Linked DNA regions of Rhinolophus ferrumequinum. The protein of the gene in region 2 interacts with the protein of the main gene of each other region in a pairwise test. Links are inferred from orthologs where the notes say so. Each region holds a gene or a part of one and is shown on either strand. Other genes may lie near its edges. The genes, in order: RGS3, PLSCR1, EWSR1 and ANXA11.

Region 1 (8,379 bases), on a different chromosome or scaffold from region 2:
ATTAAAACCTTTTGGCATCTTGCTTAAAATCTTCCGATGACTGCCCTATGCTCTTAGGATTAAGCCTGAGCTCCTTTTAATAATATATGAAGCCCTGTATGATGTTTACCTTCTTGCATATTACTTCCTCCCTCATACTCTAAGTTCCCTGCCACGTTTCCCATTGTTCAGTTCCTCAAGCGTACAATGCGTTTCTCATATTCTGACCTTTGCATGTTTTGTTCTTTATGCCTCTGTAACCCTTCCTTTACCTCCTTTGCTTGGCTAAATCATCCTTCAGGTCACTTTCTCTGAGAAGTTTTCTCTGACTTCTTTATCATCTCAGTCTGCCCATCTCCCCAGTCTAAGTGAGATGTTAATCTGTTTGTGCAGGTTGCCATGTTTCCTTTGTTGTAACACTCACCCAGTGTCTCACTAGATTGCAAGCTCCATCTTGCTCACTTCTGTATCCCCAGTGCGCAGTGGAAGGCCCAGCACAGCACAGGGCTTAGCTTAGCAGACGTTTGTTGAATTGAGTTTTAATGTGTCAGTAGCCACGGAGGGCTCAGTCCTACTAGTTTGTCCCTAGCTATTCTGAGCAGGAGGGTTGGTGTGAAAGATGACATTCTATAGTGGGTTTTTGGCTAGATTCTTATTTCTCCACAGTTTATTTATTACTTTAGCAACTTGATTCATTTAACAACTCTGAACCTTAGTCACCTCATCTATAAATACAAATGCTTGAATTTCCTGAAGGCAAATGGTGGGACCAGATGATTTTTTTTGTCTTTGGTTACTAGTATTTTATGCATTAGTCATTTATTTTCCTCTACTGTGCAATGATTATTCATGTTCTTTGATACATTCATATTTTTCTTACTTGATTTGTAAGATTTCTTTGTATATATTGGCCATATATTTAAAAAGTACTTTAAATTCATTTTTTAATTTAAAAAATTTTTTAACTTTTTATGGCCATAGAAAAGCTTTTAATTTTTTTGAGTTTTTTCAATCATATAAAAACATGAAATACATTCTTAGCTCACTTGCAGCACAAAAATAGGTAGTGGGCCAGATTTGGCTTGTAGGCATATTTTGCCAACCCTTGCACTAATAGGTTCATTAAATTTGAACCACTTTTGCAATCCTGGAATGAATGTAATGATCGTAAATATACTGCTGGTTTTAATATGCTAATGTTTAGGATTTTAGTGTTTATATTCATAGGTCAGATTGTTCTAGCAGAGATTTCAAACTCGTTATAGCACAGAAATTTATTTTATTTGGCCTACATAATATTTCAAAATTTCTGACTGAATAGCCAATATTAAAAATTTGGGAGATACTATATTAAAAATTAGATGTTTCTGGCTTTTCCTTAAAAACAGGAATGTGTCAAAACTGAGAGAATGTGGGCCCAGTATCGTCATAATTTTAATAGATCTTCTCAGTGTATGTTTTCTATTTCATTAATTTCTACTCTTATTTTTATCTTTGACCTTTCGTCTGTAGTTTTCTGTTGCTAACCTTGTCTGATTGTTGTCTTTGCCTAGGCTTGTACCTAGCATGAAAAATCTTTCAGTTTTTTTCTAGTGCTGAAACAGTTTAAATGACATTGGCATTATGTGTTTCTTGAAGGTCTTATAGAATTGGCCTCTAAAACTATCTGGGTCTTCTATAATTTTGTCAGGTAGAATTTTGATTTCCTTGTCTATTTTATCTATGGTTAGTGAGCTATTAAAAATTTCAAACTCTTGTATCAATTTTAGTAAGTAATGCTTTCTAGAAAATCATCCATTTTCTCCTCAGATTTTCAAATTTATAAATAAGGTTGCAATGGTTTCCTCTTATAATAGAAAGAATTACCTTTGTATTTTGGGTATCTTTCTCTTTCCTAAACCTGTTTACTTGTAGTTTTCTTTGTTTTGCCAGAGTTCTATTTTATTTATTTATTTATTTAAAGAACAAGGCTTTGGTTTTATTGTTGAAGCCTATTGTAAAACAAAATAAATTTAAACTTTAACTATATTATTTCCTTTTTTTAAAAAAAACAACACTTATATTTATTTAAGTGTGTTTTTCCAGGACCCATTAACTCCAAGTCAAGTAGTTGTTTCAGTCTAGTTGTGGAGGCGCAGCTCACAGTGGCCCATGAGGGGATCGAACTGGCAACCTTGTTGTTAAGAACACCACGCTCTAACCAACTGAGCTAACTGGCCGCCCCTATATTATTTCCTTTTAAGATTTTCATCTTAATTAGCTTGTTCCCCTTCTAACTGTTTGAAATGAATCTTTAAAAACTTTTGAAAATCTTTCTTATATTCTAAAAAAAATCATTTTTCTCCTTGAACTTTCTATTCTATTCCATTGATCTGTTTGTCTTCTTTCTGGTACTACATTATTATAATATTATTTACATTTGGTAGTCCTAGACCCCTTTATTATTATTTTTCAATAATTATTTGGCTATTGGGCCAGATGATATCTAAAGGAACTACGATTCTTTAATAGCTAAGGTGAAAATGCACCCAAGTCCATTTAGTCCCTTCCCTCCAAACCCAGGTAGTCCTTATTCTTCTAGATACAGAGTCAGTCTTAAAAAATGCCTACAATCGATCTTTGTATCTGAATGTGGTATATGTATGTAGTGTATTTAAGTGGTTTTTTTTTGTGTGTGTGTGTCTGTGTGGTGTGTGTCTATGTGCTTGTATATAGGATGCATGTATAGTGTGTGGGGTTTGTGTGTGTATATATATATGATGTATGCAGTATGTTTATGTGTGTGTATGTACTAGTATATGGTATGTGTATGTGGAGTGTTAGTGTTTATACATGGGAAGTGTTATGGTATGTGTGTGTGTGTAGTGTGTGGGGTGTGTGTGAGGTGTAAGAAAGATACTGAGGCCAATGGCCAGGGCATGTCAGAAAGCTGGGCTTGCTCCTCAAACTCCCCTGCCTTCTTGGGGAAAGCAGGGCCATAACCACGACCCCTTCTGGATGTCCCCTGTGGACAGTAGAAATAGATTAGTAGGACCAGTCTCTCCTACAGTGGTACTGCCCGGGCTCCCACTCACTCTTGTTCTCCTTCACTTGAGAAAAGAGTGACCTGCCCCTTTAAGAGAAGGATGTTTCCAGTGCTCTACTAAGTAAGGGGCCTTATGGTTGGTGGTAAAGGTGGTGGAGGTGGTGCCACCACAGGAGTCGGATCAGGATCAGAGTGGCATTGGGGTCTCCCAACTAAATAGGTTAGCTGCTGAGTAGGGCAGGAGCTGGGAGGGAACGTACAAGGCAGTGGGACTTTTGTCCTGAGTGGGGTGAAGTGGGACTCTTTGTCCTGAGTAAGCTGAAGTGTGGTCCTCAGTCTTTTTACCCCAGACCACATACAGATAGCGCAACTCTGCCCAGCTCTCCTGCTGGACCCCAACCTCGTGAGGGTGCATTTGCAGGTTGCTCACAGCTTCCTGAGTCCAAGGTGATTTTCCCTAGTATGGGAAATTTTCTCTAGTATTCCCTAGAGAGCAGAGCAGAGCCTCTGGCAGAGCTGTGAAGGGGCCACTATCCTCTTGGGCACATCACTCTCCCCTTCCCTGTGGACCTCCTAATTCCTCCTGGGAGAGAACATCCCTCTCAGGGGGCATCCTCAGGCCGTGCCTACCCATGCTCCCAGCTTGCTCCTGCAGGTCTACAGCACCTCCAGCCTCAGTGTCCTGTCTGTATCCTGTGGCTGGAGCCTGAGGTGGCCCATTTTCCTTGGATAGATGGAATGGCAGGGCCGGGATACCTCCCTGCCCAGAAAGGATGCCTGGACTCAAACTTCCCCAGCTAGGAGGATCAGGCACACTCAAGTCCAGGGTGCAGGTAAGTCCATCTGCCACCGGGTTGGGGCCAGGGAGGTACGCTTGTCCCCTGCTGAGGGCAGTGCTCATGGTGTGGGGCTGAGGGAAAGCAGAGCAGGGCCTCCCAAAGTGCCAGGATTCAAACAATCCACCTACCTTTTATGAGACTCATTTGCACCTGACCACTAGTTTGCTGATTTCAGGGCACCTTCTCTAGTTTCAGCTCCCTGCTGGTGGCCAGCTGGCCCTGTGGGATCTAGTTTTCTTACCTGCCTCAAGAAGGCAGGTCTGCTACTTCCACTTGCTATTGGCCATGAGGCAGGTCTGGACGCCAAGGAGGAACAGAAGGAGGATAGCCTTTGGAGCAGACAGGACTGGGTTCAAATTTCAGCTCTCCCAACCTTAGATAAGTTACCTACTCTGCCTGCCTGAGGTTCAGATTTATCCCTGGTAAATTGGGGCTAATGCTTTCTAGGGTTACTGTGAATATTTAATGAGATGATGTGTGTAAATTTCCCAGCTCAGCCCCTTTCACCTGGTACTCAATACATATAACTTTTCTCCCCACTTTCTCTATTGCATCCCCCAACTCTGTCTTGCGTGGATCACTCAGTCACAAATATCCATTTGGCAACTTCAGATATTTCCCATTTTCAGACTTACATAAGACTAGCAACTTTCCCTCCCACAGCAGCAACAGTCAGAGATTTGCAGAGCAGATGTCTTGGTGTGAAACTGCTCCCAGGAGGCGTCCCATGAAAGTTTGCTGACAAAGAGCTCAGGGGCTGACCTTCCTTCCAGCACTGCCTCCTCGCACCAGGCTCTGGAGACTGAAAGCATCTACCTCCTCTGCATAGTATACTTTTCGGTCCCCTCATATGCTGGGGTGCCCCATGGCACCAGGCTGCAGATGGAGGTCTGTGAGGCTGGCTGGAGCACGCTGCTGTGGTCTGGACTTACGCTAGGCTTCTCTCATCCAAGAGGGGCCCACGAGGGAGATAGAGAGGGCAGGGTTTGGGAAGGGGCTGCAGCCTGGTGGGTGGGCCCGTCCAAATGTGGAGAACACTTTTCCAAAGCCCCTGGGCCAGGAGGGTGCTCCTTTGCTTTTGCTCTGGTCCGGTGATTACAGGTCTGAGCTTCAAAGCATGTTACAAACCGGGCTAATTGCTAGCCTGGGAGAACTGGACGAGCAGGCCAAGCGCGCCTGAATGGGCAGCCCAGGGACTGCGGGCCTCTCGTGGGGATGGCACTTCCAGCCTCGAGCGGTCTTGGAGCCAGGAGACCTGGTGTGGCCGCCGGGTCCTGCGCGCTCCTGGGGAGGACTGCGGTCCTAGCCGCGGTGGCTGCCCTCGCAGTTGGGACGCCAGCGCCATTCCGCCTCTGGCCAGCGTCTGCTCTGTCAGGTGGAAACCTTCCCATTCAAACCAGCGCGGGCCAATCAGGGACTGGCGCGCCCGCCTGTTCAAACGCGCGATTCAGCCCGGCCTCCGGCTCCCGCCTGGGAGACCGGTGCGGGGCGGGGAGGTGGGGTGCGGGTGAACCTGCTGCCTCGGTTACTGTGGAGCAACACAGACGCTTCGGGTTACAGGCTCACCCTCCCGACCCGGAGCGGGCGGCCATGGAGCACTCCCTGCACCGCGTCTCCCTCGGGAGCCGGCGTGCCCACCCGGGCTTGTCCTTCTACCTCACCACCTTTGGTAAGTGCCCTCTGCGGCCCGCTGCCGGGACTGCGGCACCCTGCTCTCAGCGCCCAGAAAGGGCGCCCCCGTGGTGATAGATGAGGCTGGGAGCAGATGAGCCTTCTGTTTGGGGGCACACCTTCTCTGGCCTCTTCCTCCTGTGGTTGCCCAGGTGGGGCTCAGGACACAGGCTCAGACCGTTCAAGCTGCTGGGCACCACCTGCTCCCTGGCCACTGGTGCCAAGTGCAGTTGGTTCTGCCTCACTGGGCTGGAATAATCACGCCCCAGTTAATCTTTCAGAGACCCGGTTTGTCACCGCTGAGTTTCCCATTAGCAAGCAGCTCAGGGTTAAATCAAGGTCTTGTTGCTACGTCTCAACCTCTCCTCAGTTCTCTTTCCTTTGGTGCAGGGACAGGGCAGGTGCCAGGTTAGCCCAAGTGGCCTTGTTTCCTTGTGGGCTAACCTTGGAAGCAGTGTGACTGCTCCAGTGGACATCTGACCTGTAAGAGAGATGGGAGAATTCTCTTCTCCAGGAGTGAGCAGGCTCTCAGGAGGGTCACAGGGCTGCTCTGGGGACTTGAAAGGAATGGGCAGTGGGTGCCTGCTCCCAAGCCCCTAGGTAGCAGGACTGAGTTCCCCGAAATAACAGCTGGGTAGCAGCTCCCCAAGGGTCCAGGCAAACCCAGCCTTCCAAGTAGCCATAGTAAAGCTAATAGCCGGGTCCTAGAATACAGCCCTTTACAGTTCTCCATTCCTTTCCTCACTGGTTCTGCAACACCTTGTGGAGAGGGAGTTGTGTTTCCTCTGTGAAGACTTGAGATCCAGAGAGAGGAAGGCCTCCCAGTGAGCCAGTGACAGGAGTTGGTACCTGAGCTCAAGCCTTCTGAGACGACCTGTAAGGCACATTTGTTTTGAACTTGTATACAATTTTTTTTATGAAGGTTGGGGAAGTTACTGCAACATAAGTGGACTTTGCCCAGATTTCAAAGACAGAGCACCTGGGGAGTTAGGCCCTTCCTGGGTCCGGGTCCCTACTCTCAGGCTACCTCTGTTGACACACTTGGCTCTTCACAACCTGTCTTTTCCTCTAGTGGCAAAGGAAGTGATGGAAAAGCAGTGGCTTGGCCCCTAGAAGTGGCTGTGGTCTGGCATCCTGGAATTCACTGGTCCAGTTGGTGGAGGATAGTAATGAGAGTAATTGACTAGCCACCACTATTGAGACCTTTCCGTGTGTCGTGCCTTGTGCGACGTGCTTTACCTACATTATCTCATTTAATCCTCCCAACCCTCGGAGGCAATTCCTGTGAACCCCCCCATCACCCCCCCGTGGGATTTGGGACTGTACTAGACAAAGGAGGTCTCTGGGATGGTCTGAGTTGGTGGCGCTGGAGTGGTCAGAACGAGTGTTGGGAGCTGGAGACCCTGCTACCTTAGCTGTTTCCTGATTCAAATGTAAAACTATGTTTCACTGTTTTCTCCTCTTTATTCTCATGGTGAGATGTATTCATTGTTGAAAACTTAGTGACAAGAAGAAAGTAAGAATCACCTGTAATCTGAAATCTGACTCCCCAGAAAAGACCATTGTTAACATTTTTTGGTTTATAAACCAAAATCCTCAGACTTCTCTCTCTCTCTCTCTCTCTCGGATCTAATTTTAACAAAATTCGGATCATATTGTAAGTACAGTTTTGTAACCCGCTTCTTTTCCTTACTGGGATGAGGTGACTATTCCCTCGCATCCGTCCACATGTCTTCTGTTGAATGAATCTCCCTGCCAGATCTGGGAAGTTGAGGCGTGTCCAGTGCAGCAGGGAGTGGATGCCCTGCCCAGCCATGGCCTCAGGGCTGGGTCGGATGGGGAGCAGGGAAGGTGGCTGCTTGAACCAGTCAGTGCCTGACCTGAGTGTGCAGTGGGCGGCAGGAACCTGGTGGGGTCGAGAGCCTCCTGCTCTAACGTCTCCTCCTGCCCTAATGTGTGCAGTCTCCTCTCAATGTCCCCGAGGACACTGATGGACACTGGAAAAGTTCTCGCCTGTTTCCTTCATTAACTGTTTTCTTGACAAATGCCACCCCTCTTCCAGGCTGCTGACTTTTCTTCGTACAGCGAGGGATCTTTGCCTGTCTGATCATGAGTGAAGATTCATATCAGTGGTTACCAGCCTGGCCAGTTATCAAAAGCACCTGGGGAGCCTGTTAAAAACAGATTTCTAGGATCTTCTCCCAGAGATCATGTTTTAATAGGTCTGGGGCGGAGCCTGAGAATCTAATTTTAAGAAGCCACAGAAGTATTTCAGCGATTCAGGCAGGTTTGGGAGCTATAGAGTCGGTTTTGGAAGCTATAGAGTCAGTCAGTTTTGTTAGCCATGAACTCCTCACCAGGAAGGTCTTTGCTAAGTTTTCCTCTGTTCCCTGGCCTTTCCCCAGCATGGCAGGTACCTGGCCTTCAGCATGGGGCTTTGCCCTGGTAGAACCAGATGAAGGTGCTGCCTAGCTGGTAGTTTCCTGAGCACAAACATTTAAAAAGTTTTCTATTTAATTAATTTTATTTTTACTTTGTTTCAATTACAGTTGATAATATTATATTAGTTTCAGGTGTACAGTAGAGTGGTTAGACATTTATACAGCTTACGAAGTGATCCCTGATAAGTCTAGTACCCACCTGGCACCACACTTATGTACTGGAATCTTCTTGACTGTATTCCCTATGCTGTAGTTTATTTACATCCTCATGACTGTTTTGTAAGTGCTAGTTTGTACTTCTTAATCTCTTCATCTTTTTTACCCAGCCCCATCTGGCAACCATCAGTTTGTTCTCTGTATCTATGAGTTTGTGCCTGTTTTGATTGTTCATTTATTTTGTGTTTTAGTTGCCACATATAATTGA
Region 2 (7,417 bases):
ACCTTAGAATCACTAATGGCCTTTTGACAGCCCACCTTGAGTCCCACCTTAACACAGAGTAAGAAATGGTTTCTCTCCCACTTTGGGCAATTGCCATTGTAATCCCATTCAGGGTCCATGGGTGGGACCGCTGTTTCTCCTGGGGGGTATTTGTTGTCAGACAGATGTAAATTGTTAGAAAATTTTCTGGCCTCCTTAATTGCCTGTTCCTGTTCAATGTCTGACAAAGTTTGTCCCAGAACTATCATCACATCTTTCCAGGTAGGTTTATATGCTAAAGTAAGGTGTTGGAAGCATCTATACATTTGTCTGATGGTCCGAATGGCTCCCAAGGTCAGCTTTAATTTGCCTGAGCTCAATGAGGGAGAGGGGTCTGTTTATTAGTTGGGGGCCAATTTCTCCTGCTGTTTCTATCAGAGGCAAGAGCTTAGTTGTCCGAACAGCTTTAGGGGCAGGAGAAGCAGGGGCCAGCAGTTGTGTTGGGGACTCTGGGTACAAGGGTGGTGAAGAAGGTAGCCAGAGGGCCTTCTTTGGAGTCCCTGGGGCCGGAGTTGGGTCAGTGAGAATTTGGGGATCAGTAAGCACGGGCTTAGTAGGGCTAAGTTCCACTTTTTGCATAAATCTCTACCACCCCTCTAATAGAAAAATACTTGTATAGAAGGACTATCTGACCATTTTCCAAGACGTTTACAAAAGGGGATGAGTTGTAGAAATGTGTCATAGTTTAGGGTCCCATTAAGAAGCCAAACCTCCCTCTCCCCTAGTTGGTATTGGGGCCAAACTGTATTACAAAAAAAAAAAAGATTAGTTGGCTTTTAAATTTTGAGGATCAAATTGTGACCAATTAGAAAGGGTACATCTCAAGGGGGTACTGGCGGGAATGGACTCTTGATTCCCCATCTAGAAAAGGGAAAAATTGTCTGGGGCGAGGTAAGACTGCCCCTCGAGACAGTGGCAGACTATCCCACCTCTTTTCTGGATTTGTAGGGGTTGCGAAAGAGTCCTGGTAGTTCCCGTGTTCTTCTAGGAGTCGAAAAAGGCTCGGTCAGGAGGGGGAAATTATAGAGGGCTAATGGTCAAAGCCCAGGGTATGATTTTGATTATTCCATTCGGAAGGAAGTACTCAAGCCCTCATGCAAGTAGCTGTCCCTTTGTCCCTCCATCTCTCAGTCTGCTGGTATTAGCGTTACCCATTGTTGGGCAATAGTGTTCAAAAAGAACAAGATCTTAAGGGATTGGAGAGGCAAATTTCGGAGGTAGGAGAAAAAGTTCTGAAAATGTTGAGAATCTCCTCTGAAGGTGGGAAAGGCAAGAAAAGCTTGCCGACCCTTACTCACTGCCATCCAAACAACTGGAGACAAAGGATGCAATCCAAATCATGGCACCAAAATGTTACGGGAGTCTCAGTTCTTCTTGCTGACACAGTGAAGAATCAAAGTTCAGCAAGCTGATTAATATGCAAGCAGGGTTTATTAGTGATACATTCTCAGGGAAGAGGTTGGGGAGAGGGAGAAAGAGATTAGAGAAGCCTAGGTCCCGGATATTAGTGATATGTTCTCAGGGAAGAGAATGGGCCTAGCAGAGGTGAGAGAGAGAAAGGGGGAGGGGGGAGAGAGAAAGAGAGAGAGAGAAAGCGTGAGCAAGAGAGCTGACGTAAAAAAAAAAAAGGGTGAGAGAACTTGCGTCAGTAGGACTTATACAGGGAGTTATCTATTGATTTTAGGCCGGAGAGGTGGGTGGGGGAGGTGGTGCATGCTCTTTCATAGGAGGGCATGACTTCCTAAGATGGGTGGAGGTCTGTTGACTCAGATCCTTATCTTGCTCCACACCACCTCTTGTCATCTGTTGTTATAAGAACAGATATGTGGCTGGAGGCAGTTAATCAAAGCTACTTGTGAGCTTTTTCTGTAGGCACTAAGGACCACCTCCCACTCCTCCTCCTCCTACATTTTCTAGCTTCTACCTAACAGTAGGATGGGTAAAGAAGGTGAAGGGATTAAGAAGTACAAATTTCCAGTTATAAAAGTCATCATGGGGATATAAAGTACAGTATAGGGAATATAGTCAATAATATTATAATAACTATGTATATTGTCAGTTGAGAACTAGACTTACGGGATGGTCACTTTGTACATTATGTAAATGTCTAATCACTATATGGTATACCTGAAACTAATACAACATTGTATATCAAAAGTAATTCTTAAAAAGTTGTCCTGATGTTAAAAATAAATAAATAAACAAATGTCAAGGAAGAACTCATACTGGATGTCCTGAGGTACAGAAAACTTTCTAAAATAAGATGCAACGCCTAGAAGTCAAAAGTGAAAAACACAGTAAAAGATGATTAAAAATGAAAACTATGTATTGTTAAAGCAAGTTTAAATGTGACACAATCCGGAGACTCACTGAGCAAAAAAAAAAAAAAAAAAATTGTACTCTATTAAGCAGATGAGGAATTGAATTTACAATATATACAGAGCACAACAAATTCGCAAGGGGAAAAATGTCCTAATCCAACAGAAAACTATGTATTAAATATCAGATATTTCACAGAATAAAATGGTAAAATGTTTAGCAATAATATAAAAAATTACTCAACATTACTAACAACTCGAATTAACAAAAACAATAATAATAGCATAATACTTGCCAATCAGAATAACAAACATTTAGAAATGATTATCAGGAGGTGGCGATCCATGGTAAAACAAGCATTCTCATATTTTATTGGCAGAACAGAATAAGTTTCTAAAGTGTGTACAGAAAAATAAGTGCAAGGACGATGACTACAACATAATTTGTAATTATGAAATTAGAAGCAAAGTACACCTAAATGATTAGATCAACGATACAGTTCTGTATTAAAGGCAAGGGATTTCCAAGAAGTTTCATAAAGTGGAAACACAACAGAGAATAGTTTGCATAAAATAATCCTGTTAACGTGAAAAACAAAACTATGTACTGTTAGGCACGGCCAGAGGAATGAGTCATGGGAGACTAAAATTGGACTATTAGAATTTATTTGGCGTGTTTGAACTGTGGGAGGTCAGGCTAGAAAAGACCACAACCTTTTGGAGCAAAAAGGGGTATGGAGTTTTACCGGAGGGGGTCAATGAGGTTGTTCCCCCTTCAATGCTTCAGGGGGTTTTCCTTGCATTGTCTCTAGCAACCAAGGGTTTTGTTTGGGACGTGACCAAGCCCTGGGCTCCACACCCTGCCCCTCTAGCCTCCCTCGGTCCAGACCTCCTAGGCCCTCCCAGGCCTGCTGATCACGAGCCATTAGAACAGCATAAGATGGTTTCTACTTTCTAGGTGGCTTCTCCAAGCCTAAAGCAACATAAGCCGGCAGGTACAGGTACAAAGACAAGATGGCTTTTAAGATAAGAAGTTTCCTGTTCTGTCCTAAATGTGGCCTAACGTGTACATTTGTGTATATAGTATGTATTGAGCACTTACTGTGTGGCAGGCATCAGTCTAAACTTTTTGTATTTTAATTTCCTTAATCCTCATAAAAATCTTTGAGGTAGATATTATTACTACCTTCATTTTACAGATTAAAAAGGAGACACAGACTGTAATTTGCACCAAGTCACAGAGATGAGAAGGGATTCAAACCAAGTTGCTTGGTTTCCTCCCTCCTTTTTCAGTCATATTTTCTCAATTTCGCTATCCCTCCCAACTCCTTTCTTCTCTCCCGCAACCTTCCTTCTCTCTTAGTAAATTTTCAAATGTCTCTTAACAGTGTCATGGGGAGAAAAGTGGGGGATGCAGAAGGTATGTTTCACTTATTTTCTCCACATTCAGCTTTACTGTGTGGAAGATCATGTATCGCTTTTGTAAATGAAAATTTTAGAGAAAAAAAAAAGAATGAATCCTTCAGTTCAGTTCAACAAATACTTGTTTATTGGGCTTGGTTGCCACTCCTGGAGGGGCCTGAAAAACTAAACATTCTAAACGCATCAGGTCGGTTTGACTCTTAAACGAAGTTAACATCGTTTCGTGGAAAGAGAGAAACAGAGAAAGAGACAAAGAGCAAGAGAGCGAACGTGAAAAGACGTCATGAAGGAAAACAAGCTGGCCCCATCCGCGTTTGTCCTCAGCCCCGGTCACTGCTTCCAACCGGAATCGCCGGGGTGGAGGTCAAGCCGGGGTAAAGGAATTTCCCAGCACTTCAGTGCTTTCCGCCCCACCCCGAAGGCAAACCCTCCCGCGTTCAAGACTGTCCGCATTCTAGCCAGTGTTGACTTCCCCATGAAATGCAACACCAACAATTTTGGAGTCTCTGAGAGTAGGAAAGGGGGCAGGGGGACATCTCCGCGCCCGCCCCTCTGGGGAGCCGGCCTCGAGGCAGCTCTCCCGCCCTCCGGCAGCCACGCGGGACCCCGAACTCCCACGGGGACTGGCTAGACAGACCCTTTTGTGTACGTAAGATCCAGGAAACGAAACCTAGAGCCGGGTTTTCCGCCCCGCGTAGGTCCCTCGGAGGCCCCCTTCCTGGTGACTTCAGGGAAGGTTGTGTAACGCGCCGCGCTGAGCTGCCGAGGAGCCCAGGGGACACAGCGACCGCCAGGCGCCCGGGTTCCCGGCCCTCGTCTCGCCCAGCGCCGCCCCGGAGCAGCAGCAGCCACAGGTGGGTAGGTGCGCTCTCCGCCCTGCCGCGGGCACGGGGCGCGGGGCCTGTGCGGGTTCCGGGCCTCGCGGGGCCCGGGGGCGATTCGTGACCGAGGGGCACGAGGGCTGGCGGGTTGTGCTTGCGCTGAGGTTGGGGGGTAGAGGATGGGGGTTGGGGTCCCAGCGGTCTCGGGAAGCCACCTCGGAAGTGGAGCGGGGGCGCTCTGAGGGTCCCCGGGTGACCTACCTGGTAGAGACTCGACCAACTATGGTGTTTCCTTCCCTGAGAACATCTCTTCCCAGCGAGGAGGGCAGCCCTGAATCAGGGCAGGAACCTGGGCTCCGGGGTGTCTGCCGGCACAATGTGGGGTGTTAGAAGGGACGGTTAATAGAACCTGCCAGCGGCCACTTAACAGTAAATATGAATTAGGATACAGCTGGAACTATGCTAGGACCTGGAACACCAGAAGAATTGGGAAGCTAGAGGGGCTGTGTAGCATAGAGGAGAAGACCATTATCTCGCAGTCCACCTGCCTGACTCCAGTCCTGCCTCTACTGCTTATATCCGTGGACTCTGAGCCAGTTTCTTCTGCATATATGTTCCTTCCGTACCTCATCTCTGAAACTGTGTAACTAGTAAAAGAGTTCTGAGAGTTAGAGTATGACAGGTATTAGTGTAACTTCGTTAGACAGGGTCTGGCACTGCAGAAAGTACTCAGTGAAAGCTTTTGTTATTTTTAATATTTGACAAAGTCTCTGCTTCTCCCCGCTTTCTACCTGGTCCCCCTGTGGTTTTATTTATACATTTATTCCTGGAAGTGCTGGCATGCTCACTACCCAGTTCCAGGAAGAGGCAGAAAACTATTGTTTCTCCTGGATTAGTAGTATTAGGTACAGGGTTAGTACCGTACAGGTAGGTTTCACTTAGTGTGAAATGTCAGGTGATTTGGGGTCCCCTTTTTCTCCTTTGAACTTTTATACCAGCAGAAGTTTCTCCTAATACCACACTGGTGAGTATGACGATTGTAGCACTTTGAACACTGAAGAAACACAAGGGATGGTAGTGAAATGAGTGGATTTCTGCAGTTGGGTAGAAAAGTGGCATGTGAAATAACTAGGTCAAGATTAAGCAGCCTTCGCATCTGCAAGAGAGCTGTTTTGTCTGACTGAAAGGAATGAAATTAATAATTCTGTACACACATTGTTGAATCAAAAAGCACCAATTAAGCGCTTTGTCCTGGACAAGACAGGCCATGCACTGGCCTTTCAGAGCTTAGAGTGCAGCTGGGGAGACAGTTAAGGCGTAACAACCTGTGCACCTCTCCATCTTCCTGTCTCATGGTCTCTCCCTGTGGTCTCTCTCTCACACACAGACCTTTCATGCCCTTGAATGAAACAAGCTCTGTGCAGCCTCAGGACTTCTACATACTGAGTTTCCTGTCTATAATGCCTCACCCCACCCCACCCCCACACCTTCATGGCCTGGTTGATTTCAGACTTCTTCAGCTCTCAGATCTCGCTTTCTTTACAACCCCGTCAACCACCACCAGCATCTAAGCTAGTGGCCCCATAACTCTTTATTATAGCACCATTATATTTATTTATAGCATTTAGAGTATTTCTAATAATATAATCTGTCATTTTCTTCTAGTGATTGCTATAATGGCTTTCACTATGCCTTCAGTCAGTATTCTTTGAAAAAAGGCACAAGCTTTGTACCAACCGAATATTTATATACATACTTGTATATATGAACATGTGCATTATAATATGTGTGTATATATACACACACACTATTATACTTTCTTAAACAGTGCTAAGTTGAAAAAGCCAAAGTACTGTAGTTAATCAGTACTAGTAATTGTACTTTTCATTTTCCAAATTTTGAATTTAAAAAATACTTTCACCTTTCCTGGTAAAAAGAAAATAGCCTTGCGTAAGTTTGAAATTTGCAAGAAAGATACCATAAATACAGTCTTTTAATAAATTTTACTGAAATTTGACAATTTGAGAGAAATTTTTTTTTCAATGAATCAAAGACATGAATGCAAAGGACATGAATCATTTTAATTCAACTAGTTAGTGAGATGTATAACATTAAGTGACCATTCACTCTTTGAGTGTAGTTTCCTCGTTTATTAGGAGGCAAGGAAACAACTCAAATTTGTAGGGAGCTCTGAGTTGTCAGGAAAAGCTTTTCAGGAGAAATAACGCAATCAAACTAGGATAACTGACCTAAAGTTTAGTTTTTGTTTCTTTTGTCTTTTTGGTTTACTTGTTAGTGTGGTAGAACACTTAATTTAAGCACTACTCTCTCAGGTGGTCCCAGTTGATGTAATACCTACTTTTTTTCTTCACTGTTTACTATAAAATGCTCCCCCCAAATGGTTCTGAGCTTATTTGTTTTGTTTCCTTGAACTCTAAATACAAGATTGGGTTTTTACAGGAAGACTCCCTGGTATCAGGAACTTTGATTTGTAAATGGGTTTCAGTCACCCCACTTCCACCCTATACCTTGCACATAGGGTGGACTTGTGTACTCAAATGCTCAACAACATCTGGGCCACCTGGATGTATAAACTCATCTGTTTTTGCTCTGCTTATCTTTTACCAGAACCATAGTTCAACAGATGAAATATTTTTGTCTTTTGATGTTAGCTGAAGCTTTTTAGATGCACAAAATTTACCTACAAGCATAAGCTACAAAAACATGGAAATTATTTTATTTGTGACTTACCTCAGCAAGTGTTGGGTTCTCCACATATTCTTAGGAAGTTAGGGACATAGAATTCCGTGATTGTTT
Region 3 (7,393 bases), on a different chromosome or scaffold from region 2:
ATCAGTGCTACATCTGTACAATAACTCAAAAGTTAGAAAGCTATAACTCCCAGTGAAGCAGAGTTAAGGCAGAATCCTTAATTAATTGGCAGAGAAAGCACTTAATCTTTTTGGGAAGAATTTGTTTTCTGGCAACACCATCTTTTTAAAACTTAAAATGATTTCAACTTTTAAGAAAATGCTGCAATTTTTCTTCCCCTTCTTTTTCTAAGTAAAACTTTCTATAATTTTTCTAAGAAATTTGCAACATGTAGCAAAAGGGACTAAAAATTCTGGTCCAGTGAGGTCTCTACAAGTAGTGAAAACAGAAAACAAAATGGTTAAGAAGTTCTCACAGCACTTCCGAATTAAATGTACGAGTATACATATATAAAGTTAATTATTTTAAAAAATTCTGTCCAATTCTTTGCTCTCCATAAGAATATACGTATCTGTCAGAAGACAATACCTCCATTAGGCCCAAACAAGTGTCCTTTCTATTCCAGTTAGAAAGTAGACCTTCCTCTGAAAGCAACAGTTTGACATCTCAGCTCTTTATGGAAGGGTTTCCACCCCCCCATCAAAGGCCTGCCTGAACTCATCTCTTGCAGTTGGCTCATCTTTCTACCCCTACACTTGACTCAACTTTCTTTCCTCTGTACACCCTTAGTTCAGAAACCTGAATCAACATTATTAAATCAACTGCCCAAAGGCTATGAATTGATTTGTTCAAAGACAACCTTATAGCATTTGAAAGTTAAACGTTAAGGCATTTTCAATGGCACTACAAACCATGCTCTTTATGTGGCAAATAAAAAGTAAATGAAAATCACTTATTCCATGTGGTATTCACAAAATACAACAAGGAAGCATTGAAAATTGATAGTTTAACCTACATTTCGAGGTTTCTGCTTGAGAAATGATTCTAAATCATGACATCTAAGTTCAATGTTTGCAAGAGCACTTTTATACAAGAACGGTTATGTAAAACATAAAACTGGCAAAGCTGATATAGAACAACCAATGTTCTCAATCAACATGAAACCAGATGCTTTAGCCCCACATTGGTGGGCTATGGAAGGTAGCCAATTTGTTTTAGGAGAACTTACGTTATCTACTCACAGCACACAATTATATGGCCTCAAAAATGCTCTTGTCACACACTAGTCAGATTATTTACCGATCACTGTTTTGCTTTTAACCCCCAAATGTGCAGTTGAAGACTTTACTGAAAATGGACAGACTGGGGGCGAGGGCTGTGATCTAGGTGGGCCTTTAGAGTGCTGGCAATATCTGCATGCAGTCACTCGGGGTGTGCATTTTAATTTGTTAAAATGGACATACCCTGCATTTTAGATACTTTTCTATATAGATGCAAGTGAGGAGGAAACACATTTAACACTACCCAAGATATGGGGGCTTTTAGATACTTTAGGGCAGTCACTATACAAACTGTGGAGATTTAGAACTTCAGACTACATAAAAAGTGAAAGTCAGTATGAGGCAATTTTGTGGGAGCCAAAAATGCTTTGCTGTAAGGTCAAAAGTTAAGGGCTTTGAAAGCTCTTAAAAGGTGTAGCAGCTCCTTTATTTTGAACGAAAGGAAACCAAAGTTCAGATAAGTTATGTGACTCCCCCAACATACCCCAGCTGGGTCACTTTCTACATAAACTGCAACTGTAATACTAATATAGTACATAGTACTCAGAGGTTAGCAGTAAACAGAGTCTGAGCAAAGCAGACAAAAAACTGGCATATCCAGCCACAAAAATTTTAACACATTTTGACTGCCCAAGCTTTAACAGGGAAGGGAGAAGAGGAAGGTGGAATGGGCTGAGGAAATCCCTTTCCACCAGGATGTCTTGGGCTGTGATATTTCAGAGTCCTTTCTTCTAGGGACACTCTGTACCCTGGCACCAACAACCAGCATTTACCTGCCTGCTTACTGACCACACAGTTGGAGAAGAGCTCCGTCTAACCTTTTCTCCTACAGCTTCTAAGGCCTAGACTTAGACCGCCTAAGAATAAGGCCCGGGGGAAAATGCCCCACCCTACCGATAACCTCAGGTTAGTGCGGGAACAGGCTGCCAAGTGCAGGTGATGTTTAGGCTACACTCTTAAATACTCCTCGCAGGAAGGCCCACCCTAGACACCACATTTCCAGCTCCCACTCCGCGCCTCCTTCCCTCTCTACCGGCTTAACCTAGGCAAGTGCAAGTGTGAGACGACTGCTTAAGCATAGTACAAATGCCGACCCGGGCCTTTTGTTTCTCTTAGGCCAGAAACTAGAGAGATTTCTTTCGGTAGGGATTTCTGGCCTCGCGATCCGGGCTGGTCTCATCATACAACGGATCTCTCGGCGTTTGATGAAAAATAACCCTGAGAAGCCACTTAATTGCTTTTTGGGGCGGGATTAATGATGGTGAAAACGAAGAAGCCGGAGGGAACAGCCGACTGGGGAGATTTTGAAGGGAGGGGGAGCACATCCCTTGTAAGCCCAGTCGGGCAGAAATTCGGCTTGGGGCTGGAACCCGCCGAAAGGGGCAGCTTAGGTGGCACCGGACGCCCCAGCAGACCAGGCCCTAAGCATGACGGGGCTCCTGCTCATAGGTCGGCGCCCCTCGGCTCACAAATCCACGATGGCTTTTTTTATTTGCTTTCTCCCCAAGCTTTTCGGTGAAATAGAGTCTCCTTCGGGTTTGGGCCGTCTCTCTGTAAATGGGGGTGGGGAAGTCGGAAGGGCAGCGGGCTCACGACTTCGGGAACCATCGTCCGGCCCCCCCCACCTCAGGTTTTGGGGTGCCCGGCTCGAAGCCGGACCGAGCGCCATCCCCGGCGGAGCTCTGAAGGCCGCAGGCCCCGCCCACGTGGCGGGAGGCCGGGCGCGCGGGGCCCGACGGCCGCCACACAATGGAGGCCACCGCAGGCCCCGCGCGCCCCTGCCGCCGCGAGCCCCCCGTACGGCGGGGGCGCTGGAAGGTTCCAGAGCCGGCCTACCCAGTGGGGGAGGGGACGGGAACGTGGGCCCTCGAGCTCGTCGGGCCGCGGCGGGTACCTCACACACTTCTCAGAAACTCCACTCAGTTGTCCCGGCCACCCCCAGAGACGAGCTGTCCCGATTTGGGAGTCCCGGCCATCGCCGGCGCGGCCGCATTTCCACCACACTCACCCGTGGACGCCATTTTCTCTCCTTCCTTCTCGTTCTCTCAACGTCCGTCTCCCTCTCGCTTTCCCTCTAGGCGCCGCACTGCGCAGGCGCGAAACCCGCAACCTCGGGCGCTACCATGGGGCCAGGCCACGGGGGTGTGGGAAAGAGGGATGAGCCACAGTTTTTCTCGTTCTCCCGACCTCTACTCTTTTCCTAATCCTCTCTAAAGAGCGCCGGACTTGACGCGCGGGTCCAAATAGCAGCGAAGGGGCTGAAGCGGCCGGTGAGCGGATCTTGATACGAAGGCGGAGTGATTCTTCGCACGAGGCTAAATTGTTGGATGGTTACGTCCGCTGGCTCTAGGGACTGTCTCTGAAGAGTCTGCCTTGAAGGGAAACGGAGGCCGGAGGGAGGATTGGGGGAAGGGATCTGGGCCTAGAACAACTGCTGACTAATCGGCGGGCCGCGGGGGAGGGGGTGGCGCGCCGGCTGGTCCGCCGGGGTCACGCGCCCGACCGCGAGCAGAATGGGTTTGGGGCGCTCGGGCCTTGGGGGGAAGGTTGAGTACCGACTCCCAGCCTGGGATCGTGCCCGGCCTTCCGCGGGCCGGGGCGCGCTCAGCAGTGAGTACCCCGGACACGTGGCCCAGGCCGGCGAGGGCGGGGGCTGAGGCAGGATGGGAGGCCCCGAACGTTGCGACCGGCCCCGAGAGCCCCCCAGTAACGGTCGAGGTTGAAAAGGCCCTTTAATCATTCTTCATCCAATACTCTTGTTTTTACAGAAGGGGAAACTGAGGTCCAAGGAATTTGGGTACTTTTCCTAAAGTCACAAAGCTGAGTCCGACCCGCACCCTGGGACCCCCACTCTCTCCATCACCCGGAAGAATCTTCCCCGTCCTTGCCTTCCCATTCTGTCCGCCGGTTTCCCAGTAAGGTAGGTAGGGTCTGATGGTTTATAGCCCCATTTTATAGATAAAGAGACTGAGGCCAGGGAGGTTCAAATCCCAATTCTGTTTGTCCATGGGCGAGTTCACCCTTGCTAAGGTACCTGAGGGCGGGGGACTGGAGAGGTGGAGGGGGGACTTGGTTGTGAGGGTGCAGGAGAAAGCCTAAAGTGGATTCCTTGTTTCCGGACAAGGGTGGCACTTGTCTCCCTTTCTACTCTCAACCCAATCTCACTCAAATCCCTCAGCGGGTCGTGGTGCCAAGCTAGTGTCTTTCTTTCAGTGAATACATATACAGCACCAGCAATATGTGGGGAGCAGCACCCTGAGGAACTTGGGGATGAGTGAGAGGAGCGAATCCCCCGACCCCCACTCCAGCTCAGATCACCTGCCAGGGAGAAAGGCTAAGCCGTGCTCATTAGATATGATAAGATTCATGATGTGGGGGCCCAGAGATGGAGATGGGGACATTTGAACTGGGCTTCAAGGGGTGCGAAAAGAGTTTGCCTGTTGAAGAGATGGAGGAAAGGACATTGCAGACAGAGGAGCTTTCTACATTTTTCCTGCAGGAAACTGGCAGGTGGGTTTTGATGCTGAGGGTGCCCTTGGCAAGGGAGCAGATGAGGCCACCTTGTCTCTGTGGGATTTTGCTTCCTGCCCTTTGAAATCAGTTCAGTGGGACTCCTGAGATAGACAGACCTGGCCAAGGCTGAGGGGATTCCAGCAGGGCCTGCAGGACAGGTGGGGTGTGAAGGGAGAGCACAGGGGAGAAAAAGCCTTGTCATGTGGGCAGGGAATGGGCACGATTGAAGGCCAGAGCTTGAACCACTGAGGCTGAAGCATCTGCCTCCCACAGTTTGCTGTGGGCTCGCCCTGCCTTAGTCCATTCCTTTTTCTCATCCTACACGGAAAGGCTTTTATTAATCCCCATTTTACAGAAGAGGAAGGAGAGGCTTAGAGGATGCAAAGCTTGCCCAGGGATACACAACAGGAAGAAGTGGATACTGGACCGGTCCTGTGAGAAGGGGAGGGGCTGTGCTCAGGGTTCTAAGGAAGGGGATGTCTCAGTCCAGTGTCACTTTGTATGCTCTCAGGGTGTGGGACTCCTGCTGCCCCCCCCCCAAGCTCTTCTGCCCCACTCCCTCCCTAATCTGCCTGCCCATTGGCTGGTCTCTCTCCCTTGGTCAAGGGCATCTGAGGCCATCCAGAGCTCTAAGCCTGGACACAGTAGAGGGGGTAGGGAGGAAGGTGGCTGGTCGCAGCCTGAGGAAAGCTGGAGATGGCTCTGAACTTGCCCCAGGGGTACCTCTTTGGGAGTCCAGGGCCCCAATTAACTTCCCTGGCCCTGTGCCTCCCACCCCTGGCTCCTCTTCAGGGCCCATGAGGGCTCTTTTGGCCTCGCCCCTCCATCCGCACACATAGGCAGGTGGACTGGCAAGATGGCTAAGCACATGGTTACGGTCCGAGTTCCTCTGGCCAAGTTGCTGAGACTGCCTCTCCAGCCTCAGTTCCTACTTCTGTAAAATGGAGCTCTTGGTAGGGTAGTTGAAAGAGTCAGACAAAAGCTGCAATAATAACTGTTGTTACTGTTTTCCTTTACCCCTAGCACGCAGCCTCAGGACCACCCTTGACCACCTTCAGCCAAGCTATGCGTGGCAGAGGCCCCCCTGCCCTCCTCTCCCCGGCGCTGCCTCTTGCTTCCTCAGTCCTGATGCTGCTCATGAGCAGCCTGTGGCTGGTGGGGGCCGGCCCCAGCCTCACCCTGGCCCCGGAGCTGCTGCTGGATCCCTGGCAGGGTGAGGGCTGGTCACATGGGCCTTGGAGGAAGCAAGAGACTTGCTTTAGGGCCTGAGACCAGTTGGCAGGAGCTGTGTGCCTCCTGCAGTGGTCAGGCAGGGATAGAACCAGTACCCTTGGGAAGGTCAGCCTTGGATGGGAGTACTCCTAGTTCGTCCACAGCCAGGGAGGGCGGAGGAGCCAGCGGAGGGGTGAGAGCCTGTGAATAGGAATTCTTTTCAGACAGCTTCCCTTTCTGAGGGCTTTCCTTGAAATAAGAACTAAGGCTTTCAGCTAAGCATGAGAATGGGGAGGAGGCGCTGAGGGTTCAGGAGTGACCCCAGCTGAGTACCTGTTCCCCAATAATAATAGCAGCTTCCATTTACATCTGAGGAACCCAAATGATGCTCACAGAGGTTAAGTGACTCATCCATAGTTGGTTACTCTTGAGAAGACCGAGTGGTAGGTCCACCTTGTTCTGCTTAATACGTCCTGGGAGCAGCTCCAGTGTTTGGAAACCCTTGGTTCCCTCCACGAGTGATTGCTGGCAGTGGGCAGACTTTGGCTCCTGGGGAGGGGAGGCTGGCTTCAGCGGGTGGCCCTGGCAGAGGGTAATTCCCAACCTGGCACACCTGGGACAGCCTTTGGGGTTGGGGCCACTAACCTGGCACATAAGCCCCTCTTCTCTCCCAGCACACCGGCTGCTGACCCATGCTCTAGGCCACACGGCCCTACCCAGCCTGCTCCTGAGTCTGCTGCTCCTGCCTGCACTGGGCTGGCAGCAAGAGTGCCACCTGGGCACCCTGCAGTTCCTGCATGCCTCCATGCTGCTCGCCCTGGCCGCCGGGCTAATGGCTGTGCTACTGGCAGGCCTCGGGGTGTCCGGTGCAGCTGGTGGCTGCGGATATATGCCTGTCCACCTGGCCATGCTGGCAGGGCAGGGTTACCGCCCACAACGGCCCCATGGGGCACTGCCACCATGGCTGTTGCCATGGCTGCTGCTCGCCCTGACACCCCTGCTCAGCTCTGAGCCACCCTTCCTGCAACTCTTTTGTGGCCTCCTTGCTGGCCTGGCCTGTATCCTTTGGCTGGGCTCTGGGCCTGTATGGACATGTGGGTTCTGAGGCTGGGCCCCCAAGGTGCCTGGAAAGGAGGTGGCATAAGGGGGTCAGACCCAACAATGCCGGGAAGCTGTGCACACGTAGACGTTCCAGGAGCATCTCCATGTTCTCCTCCAGCCAGGCTTCTGGGCTGTGGCCTGGGGGCTCGTGGCCACAGGTGGAGGTACCAATACCAATTTAAAGGGGAGCCTAGAGTGCTGAGGTGGCCCAAGGAGGCACCTAACCTGGACCTCCCTAGTAGAGGTGGCATCTAAGCTGATGCGTGCAGGATGAGGGGTTAAAATGTAGTGAAAAAGGAGAGGGCCAAGCAGAGGGCACAGAAAATACAAAGGCCAGGGGTGAGAATGAGCTGGGGTTCTCTGGGCGCCGAAAGGGAGAACCACCTATGGCTGGTGGTGCATGTGCATTAAACACAGGCTTTTGCTC
Region 4 (8,005 bases), on a different chromosome or scaffold from region 2:
GAGGGGTTCCTGGGGGCTGGTGCGGCTGTGGCTATGCTACCCGAGGGCGCAGCTTCCACCCAGCACGCACTCCCCTGCTGAGGCAAAGAGGACACCAGAGCTTCCCCTTGGGCCAACCATGTCCAGGCCTACCCTCTCTGTTAATTGTCAAAAGGCAAATAGAACCAACAGCGCAGTTTGTAATATAAGAGTAAAATTCCGTAAATCGATAACGTAATTAGACTTAGCTAATTTGCAGTTTGACTCACCGCATAGATTGCTATCTAGCCACCTGGCAGTTCGATCCTCCCTGATATTCAGCTGTTTTCTCTTTGTCTCTGTCCTCACTGACTGACTTAACAACTCTGTTTTGTTCCCTTTCTCAAGGCTACCCATATCTCCTTAATCCATTTAACCAACAGAATCCTAACCTGGAAAGGGCAATTTCTTAATCCACAGGCGTCCAGACACCGGAATACACATAAAGCCCCAGGCCGAGATGGCTGAGTCAGAGTCCAGAGTCCAGAGATAACATTATCTTAAAACAGACCAGACCCCGGGAAGGATGTCAGCCCTCAGACCTGCCTGACGGACTCCCCCTCTTTTATCCTTCTTGTGTACCTATAAAACCATCTGCCCATTCCAGGAAGGGGGAGGTAGCCTTTGGACAGGAGTCACCATCCTCCCAGAACGCCGGCATTCTGAATAAACCTGCTTTTCTTTCCATTAGCCTTGTCTCTTGACTTTTAACTTTTTCAAGCAGCAGGCAGCCAGACCTTAGCATGGCATCAGTAATAGCCCCAAATAGGAAACAACCTAAATATCTTTCCATAAGGAGCTAGGTGGTAAAGAATGGTGACATGCACGACGGCGCATACTGTGCAGTCATTAGGAAGAAATGAGTTGATCCAGGTCCGCTTGCATTGAAAGACCCTCCAAAATAATAATTGTTAAGAGAGACGGATTGTAATGGTGGCACTAAATCTTCTATTTTTGAGATTTGGATCTCTGGTGTAATTCAAATTAATAAGCAATTTAGCATGGGATTTTTTTTTTTAACTTTGTTTTTTCTTTTAATTTAAGTGTGTTTTTCCAGGACCCATCAACTCCAAGTTAAGTAGTTGTTTCAATCTAGTTGTGGAGGGTGCAGCTCACAGTGGCCCTTGCGGGGATTGAACCAGCAACCTTATTGTTAAGAGCACCTCGCTCTAACCAACTGAGCCATCTGGTTGCTGCCACTTGGGACTTTTTGGAAGCTTTCTTTTCTTTGCCTCTTAATGATTCTGCTCCCTATACGTTTGCTATGCAGTTTCAATGTTTGTATTTACTTAGGTTCAGTGTAAGCCCTGTGACTTGGGGAGAGGTTTTGCATCTGTATAGGATCCACTCTCCTGGCTCCAACTTAAATCTACATAATGTATGCAAAGGTTGTGATAACTGGTTTTACTATACCTTCCCCCATCCCCAACTATAGGAAAACAGAAAACTTGAGACCAAAGACTCCATGCAGTAGTTTGCAGTAGTTTTTAGCAGACTCTGCCCCGCTGAGCCTCCTCTTTAATAAATCTTCTATATTTCTGACTCATGAATTCTTTCATGGTACGTGAGCAAGTAGACACAACAATAATGAGAAAAATTATACAACACAGCTTTGTAAACAATGTATCTACATGAATATGCACACACACGCACACACATACACATGTACATACACACATAGAGTGTGTTGCAGAGAGAAAGATCTGGAAGGGCAACCTAAAAAGTGTGTTGAGGGACTGAAGAATGAATTTCAGTTTGTGGGAAAAAAAGGGGCCACATACTAAACCCGACAAGCTCAGGGTAGGTCAGCATGGCAGGCCCTACAAACTCAGAGACCGAAGTTAACCACACAGGATGGTCTGAACATAAAAATCCCTCACTAAAAGCGGGTCATGGCCAGTAGTCACATCCTTGGCCTGTAGCTTCTTTGACAAAGGTCAACACCCTTACCTTAAGTGAGCTTGACTATTGTCTTTTTTGCATCTAAGATAACATACCCTTGGAAATGTCAGAGTGATCCCTTTTTCCGGACCCTCCAAGGCATAACCCACCACTCCAGGCAGGAAACTACAGAATCCCTCATTGCTGTTCTTGTCCCAATTACCATCTCTATGTGATAGTAAAATGCTATTAACTATCCTGTACCCACCAATATAAAAGAAGTACTATGTGTCCCTCCAATTTACTTTTTATCCAATCCCAGAGATTTTGAGACAGGTTAGTTAGCACGTCCTTAAGTAGACAGGGAGGTCCCTGGTGGAATAAACAAAGACAGCCATATCCTAAAACTCCAGGTTTTGAAATCACTCCTTCGCTCCAGGACAAAATGTAACAAGGCCTTGAGGTTAATCATAAAATTCCTTTTGTTCTGACACACGGAGCAGATCTGATAGATAAGAGTGGGTTATTTTGCTAATCCCTTCAGGGTGGGCAAGCAGAGCAAACATGGTAGACGAATTTCATTAAAAGGTGCCAGTTCCCCTTCCCCAAACAGGCAAGGGAAGGTATAAAAGTAAGAGCTTTTGCCTCAGTCACTGGGCACCCCCATTGGGGACGCCTTCCTGCTCGGGAGCTCTGACCCTTTGCTTTCAATAAACTCTCCTCTTTTTAAAACTCTTTGCCTCTCCTGGGTCCGTGTTTCCATTCTTTGGTCACGATCCCGGCACTCACACTCACTCACTCCAAAATTTCCTACATCATTTGGGAACTCAGATATATTCCTCCTTCAATCCCTCCCCCCTTTGCCTTCCTCCCACGCCCTTAATCTACCACCAGTGGATTTCATGTAACACTTCTTCTTTGGCTCTTATAAAGTAAATTGCAAAACCGCCATTTTCCGCAGCAAAATCTCAATCCGTTGAGATTTTGTTTCCCGGCAATTGCCATCAGTTTGGCTCAAATAAACTCATAAGCTTTCTCTTAGGCTGGACGTTCTTTCATAGATAATTTTTTTTTAAAAAGATTTTATTGGGGAAAGGGAACAGGACTTTATTGGGGAACAGTGTGTACTTCCAGGACTTTTTTCCAAGTCAAGTTGTTGTCTTTTAATCTTAGTTATGGAGGGTGACGTTCAGCTTCAAGTTGTTGTCCATTCAGTCTTAGTTCTGGAGGGCACAGCTCAACTCCAGGTCCAGTTGATACAGGATAGTTAGCATGTCCCTAGGTAGACAGGGAGGTCCCTGGTGAAATAAACAAAGATAGTCATATCCTAAAACTCCAGGTTTTGAAATCACTCCTTCTCTCCAAGACGTAATGTAACAAGGCCTTGAGGTTAATCATAAAATTCATTTTGGCCTGACAAATGGAGCAGATCTGATAGATGGAGAGTGGGTTACTTTGCTAATTCCTTTAGGATGGGCAAGCAGAACAAACCAGGTAGACGAATTTCATTAGAAGGTGCCAGTTCCCTTCTTCAAACAGGTTCCCTTCTTCAAACAGCTCCCTTTCCCCAAGCAGGCAAGGGAAGGTATAAAAGTAAGAGCTTTTGCCTCAGTCATGGGGCACCCCCATTCGGGACCCCCTCCTGCTCGGGAGCTGCAACCTCTTCTCCTGCCTCTAATAAACTATCCTCTTTTTATAACTTTTTGCCTCTCCCTGGTCAGTGTTTCCACTCTTCGGCTTCACGAGACATGATCCCGGCCCACACTCAGAAACTGCTAGCAGATCCAACATCACCTACATCACAGTTGCTGTTGCTAGTTGCAGGGGGCGCAGCCCACCATCCCTTGCGGGAGTCCAATCAGCGACCCTGTGGTTGAGAGGACGTGCTCCAACCAACTGAGCCATCTGGGAGCTCAGCAGCAGCTCAGCTCAAGGTGCTCGTGTTCAATCTTAGTTGCAGGGGGCAGAGCCCACCATCCCTTGTGCGACTGGAGGAGTTGAACTGGCAACCTTGTGGTTGAGAGCCCACTGGCCCATGTGGGAATCGAACCAGCAGCCTTCGGAGTTAGGAGCACGGAGCTCCAACCGCCTGAGCCACTGGGCCGGCCCTTTCATAGATAAATTTTTAAAAAATATTTTATCACAGGATAAAATGTCCTTTACCAGGAGCCCATCCAGGATACTACAGTACATTTAGTGTTCATGTCTCCTTAGGCTTCTCTTGATTGAGACAGAGGGTGTCTCAGATTTTCTGTTTTTGATGACCTCCCCGGTTTTGAGGTGTACTGGCTAGGTACTTTGCAGAATAGTCCTCAACTGGGATTATTTTCCCGCATGATTAGACTGGGATTATGTGTTCTTGGAAGGAAAAACACACAGGTACACACTGTCACTTGTTTTATTACTCTTGGTGTTGACCTTGATCACCCGCTGAGATAGTTTGTCAGAGCTCTCTACCCTAAAGCTATTCTTCCCACTCCTACCCCATGTCTGTACTATTGGGTGACCTTTTCAATGCAGAAAATTTTCTTTACCTTAAAGAGTTACAATGGTACACAGGCCTGGAGGGGGTTTGTAGAATCCCCTTCCCGAGAGGGCGGCGCTTGCGGGGCCCTTCGCGGAAAGGATGGGGAAGAAGGGGCTCCATGCCGACCTCAAGGCGCTTCGGGCCACTGGTCGCTGGAAGGCCAGCAGCTTCCATCACCCAGCTCCAGGAGGCGGCTCTCCGCTTTCTGGTCCAGGAAGGTTCTCACCTGGAGGCGGGACCGAGCTCAGGCCACGCCCCACGCGCCCCCGGTCCCGCCCCTGGAACGAACGCTCCGCCCCGGGTGCGTTCAGACCGCCGCGCTCCGGGAGTTTTCCTCCCAGCTGGCTCCTCCTCCTGCCCTGCCCTGGTGGCTGCTGCGCCCCCAGGTCGCAAGTGTTCCCGGTGCCCTGAGTGTCCCGAGAGCCGGAACGGGACAGAGCTCCACGTCGATCAAAGGCGCCGCTCCCGGAACGCCGGCGGAGAGAGCTGCTGCTGCCCGCGTCCCTTTTCGCTCCTCGCGGCCCCCTACCCTGTGGCCAGTGGCCAGGTGAGTGAGGGTCCCCAGCCAACCGAGGACACGGGACTGGGCAGCGGCAGTGCGCCGCGATCCCCGCTGCTGAGGCCTGGGACTAACCCCTTTGCCCCGTCCCGGCCCGGCCCTGCGGCTTCCTGGTTGCACTGCAAGGAGGCGCGGGGCGGGGCGGGGGGGGGGTGCTGTCTGGCTGGTCCCGGACGGTTGGTCCCGGACGGGCTGCATCGGCCTGCATCAGCTCGATCTACAGCGGGGACTGCCCCCATGGCCAGGGTCACGTGGTTGTGCTGTGCAGCCGGGGTCGGACTCAGCGGGCCTGGGCCGGCTTGGGACCTGGTGATCCCGCGACCAGAAGGCGACTAGCTGGTGTGGGCCATGGCCGGTCGCCTGGTCCCCTCTGACCCAGCCGAGTTCTCGAGTGTTGTGTGTGTGCCCTTCCGGGAAAGGCTTGTACCTAGGAGAGCTAGTAGAGAAGGCTGCCTTCAGGAACTTTTCCCCAGACCTGGGAGGACACAAATTCCTGGTAGCTGGTACTGTTGGAGTTTGTTTGTAAGGCACTTTATTTGGGGAATGTGGGGTTCATCCAGGTCCTATGTTCACCAATAAGTTTACCTTCTCTCTGCTTTCCCCCATCTTCAGCCCTGAGAGGGTTTCAGGGATGGATTCTTGGACTTTTATGTCCCCTGAAGGCTTAACAAGGTAGAAACCCAGTCTGTTGTCTTAAAGGAGTGTTGTGAAGTTCCTCACATAGAGACTTTGGGGGGCAAAAGTTAAGCTAGGCAGTGCTCGCCTAAGTGGGGAACAGTCTGCCTGCGGTGTTTCTGCCCCCATCCCTCTGATCAGTGACTTTTCTGTGGAGGGGGGTGTTTTAGGACAGACCCTGGGTATTGAGGTACCTAGCTGCTCTGTCTCTCCCCACCCTTCACTTTGTTCCCAGCTGCCCTGACCTGGGCACTAGTAGTGCTGTGAGGGGTGAGCCTATGCCCTGCTGAGTCCAGGAGCTGGACAGGCAGGGCATGTTACCTTGCTCACCACTAACTGGCTCTCATTAAGTTCCTTCAGTCCTTCCTTGCTCAGTCAATTGTTGAGACTTCCAGGAGGATTAATAGCTACCCTTCCCTCAAGGCACTTTCAGTGATGTAAGGTGGTCCACAGAGAGGCCAGGGCAATATGTTACCCTGGCATTGGGTGCTAACTCGGGCTTCTGCATCCCTCCCTAATCTTGTCTCTTACTAGTCTTGGTTTCCTCATCTTTAAATTGGGTTTAATAACAATACCTACCTCACAGGGTAATTGTGAGGATTAAATGAGTTAATATATTTAATAACTGTAGAGCTCAGGCACTGACCTGAACAGGTGGTGACTGTTATACCATGCCTGTGTGATCCAGGTGGATGTCACCCAGAGTGGACATAAAGCTTACAGCAGGGCCTGGTGCAAGGAAACAACTGTGAATATCAACTATAATACTAATAATAGCTGTCACTCCCTTCATGCAGCCGAAGGTCCAGCCAAATTGAACTGCTCTTCTCCTGACCCGTCCCTCTGTCTTAGCTCATGCTGTTCCACCCGTCAGGAATGCTCTCCTTCCCCCATTTCTGCCCATTATTCACCACTCTCCTAGGAACCATCCAGGTGCCTGTTCACAGCAGGAAGGGACAAGACACTGAGCCCGTGCAGCTCTCCTCCAGTCCTTTGGTACTAACCCACTTCTCGATGGGCGTAGTATTTGTATGGCCACGGGACTTTGCTCTGTCTTTTGTCTCTGGAGGGTGGGGGCTGTTTCTTACTCATGTCTCGGTCTCACAGCACCCAGAATGGGCCTTGCCTAATGTGAGTGCCCAGCAGATGTTAGGTAATTGAGAGGCAGGCCAGGGAAGTAAGTTTTCCTGTTGTTAAAATATTAGACATGGAGATGGACATGAGTCCAGACTGAGAGGTGGGAGTAGGAGCTGGCTGAGATGCCAAATAGGCGGCCCTTTGACTGCTTTATGTAGCCAGGGCAAGGATGACAGACAGGGCTCATCCTGGATGGCTGTTCCTAGAAGGCCAAGATAGATTAGTGATGCCTTGGTCACGTGATTTGGAGGAGGATGGGTAGTTTGGGATAAAGGAATGAGAATTGCGTCAGAATAGGTTAGTATGGGTTCTTGGGAATTCACTGCAGAATATGGGGGGAGGGGGAGGGAAGTCCATGTGGGCAGGAAGTGAGTGTAGAAACGGAACCTGTGCTGCGTGCTGGATGTCCAGGGGTCCCAGGGCCTTTCTGGCGCTCTCCCTCCTTCTGTCTTTTTAGCTGCCATCTTCTCCCGGTAAGCCTGAAGCAGTTCCTGACACTTGGTCCCATGAGGGCACGTGGGGGAGAGTGTATGTGGGTGTGTTACATAATCACAGCCGAGCATGCATACTCAGGTTTCTCTGGATTTTTCCCTTATAACACCCTCTGATCTCATTGCCCCAGAACGTCAGGAATTTGAGTGGTCTCTAGATAGGAAAGCTTTTAGGGGAAAGGAAGAAACTGGTTTCCTTGGTGGGAAATTGGACTTTTAAAAGGAGTTGTTGAAAATCAGTGGCGCTTTCTAACAACCACTGAAACCGTACCACATTTGGCCTACTGACCCTGACTCCTGTACCCTGTGAAATAAAGGTCTGATGTCACATGGTGGTTTTATTTAGGGGGATCGTAACAGGACAGCCTGAACAGTGTGACTCGAACCACAGCTGACCATGTTACACTGATGTGAGCACTTAATGGGTGAGGGCAACCAAGGTGTCAGGCGATAGCTCATCTGAGCTGGGTGACCTGGGACAAGCCATGGAGCCACTTAGGCTCCCCGTGTTCTGGATGGTGAAATGCTTACCTCCAATGATTGTTTGCAGAGTCTGGTGAGAACATGTTTGTTAAAGGGGTTTGAGACCAATTAGGGGTGGTGATGACAGTGGTGATATCTTGGGTGTGTCACTGCAAGGAACCTTGAAGCTGGGGGTGTCATGTGCAGGTGGTTGACACCTGTCTCTGCGATCCCTTAGTGTCTAGTCTTCCAGGG

The links.
Region 1: the proteins of PLSCR1 (region 2) and RGS3 interact in binary tests that used the Homo sapiens proteins (3 or more experiments, as listed by UniProt). The two-hybrid records come from large-scale screens. The link is inferred for Rhinolophus ferrumequinum from reciprocal best matches to the Homo sapiens genes PLSCR1 and RGS3.
Region 3: the proteins of PLSCR1 (region 2) and EWSR1 interact in binary tests that used the Homo sapiens proteins (3 or more experiments, as listed by UniProt). The two-hybrid records come from large-scale screens. The link is inferred for Rhinolophus ferrumequinum from reciprocal best matches to the Homo sapiens genes PLSCR1 and EWSR1.
Region 4: the proteins of PLSCR1 (region 2) and ANXA11 interact in a two-hybrid assay, tested with the Homo sapiens proteins (2 studies listed by BioGRID and IntAct). The two-hybrid records come from large-scale screens. The link is inferred for Rhinolophus ferrumequinum from reciprocal best matches to the Homo sapiens genes PLSCR1 and ANXA11.

What each region holds. Positions count from the first base shown.
Region 1 is NC_046295.1:65,303,617-65,311,995, forward strand, and holds the start of RGS3 (regulator of G-protein signaling 3), read left to right. Parts: upstream 1-5,321; 5' UTR 5,322-5,433; coding exon 5,434-5,512; intron 5,513-8,379. UniProt on the Homo sapiens protein: Down-regulates signaling from heterotrimeric G-proteins by increasing the GTPase activity of the alpha subunits, thereby driving them into their inactive GDP-bound form.
Region 2 is NC_046285.1:5,726,126-5,733,542, reverse strand, and holds the start of PLSCR1 (phospholipid scramblase 1), read left to right. Parts: upstream 1-4,236; 5' UTR 4,237-4,633; intron 4,634-7,417. UniProt on the Homo sapiens protein: Catalyzes calcium-induced ATP-independent rapid bidirectional and non-specific movement of phospholipids (lipid scrambling or lipid flip-flop) between the inner and outer leaflet of the plasma membrane resulting in collapse of the phospholipid asymmetry which leads to phosphatidylserine externalization on the cell surface.
Region 3 is NC_046308.1:18,737,650-18,745,042, reverse strand, and holds the start of EWSR1 (RNA-binding protein EWS), read right to left. Parts: upstream 3,282-7,393; 5' UTR 3,162-3,281; coding exon 3,149-3,161; intron 1-3,148. Other genes in the region: RHBDD3 (rhomboid domain-containing protein 3), read left to right, coding at 5,719-5,866, 6,540-6,923. UniProt on the Homo sapiens protein: Binds to ssRNA containing the consensus sequence 5'-AGGUAA-3'. Might normally function as a transcriptional repressor. EWS-fusion-proteins (EFPS) may play a role in the tumorigenic process.
Region 4 is NC_046299.1:56,055,225-56,063,229, forward strand, and holds the start of ANXA11 (annexin A11), read left to right. Parts: upstream 1-4,787; 5' UTR 4,788-4,973; intron 4,974-8,005. UniProt on the Homo sapiens protein: Binds specifically to calcyclin in a calcium-dependent manner. Required for midbody formation and completion of the terminal phase of cytokinesis.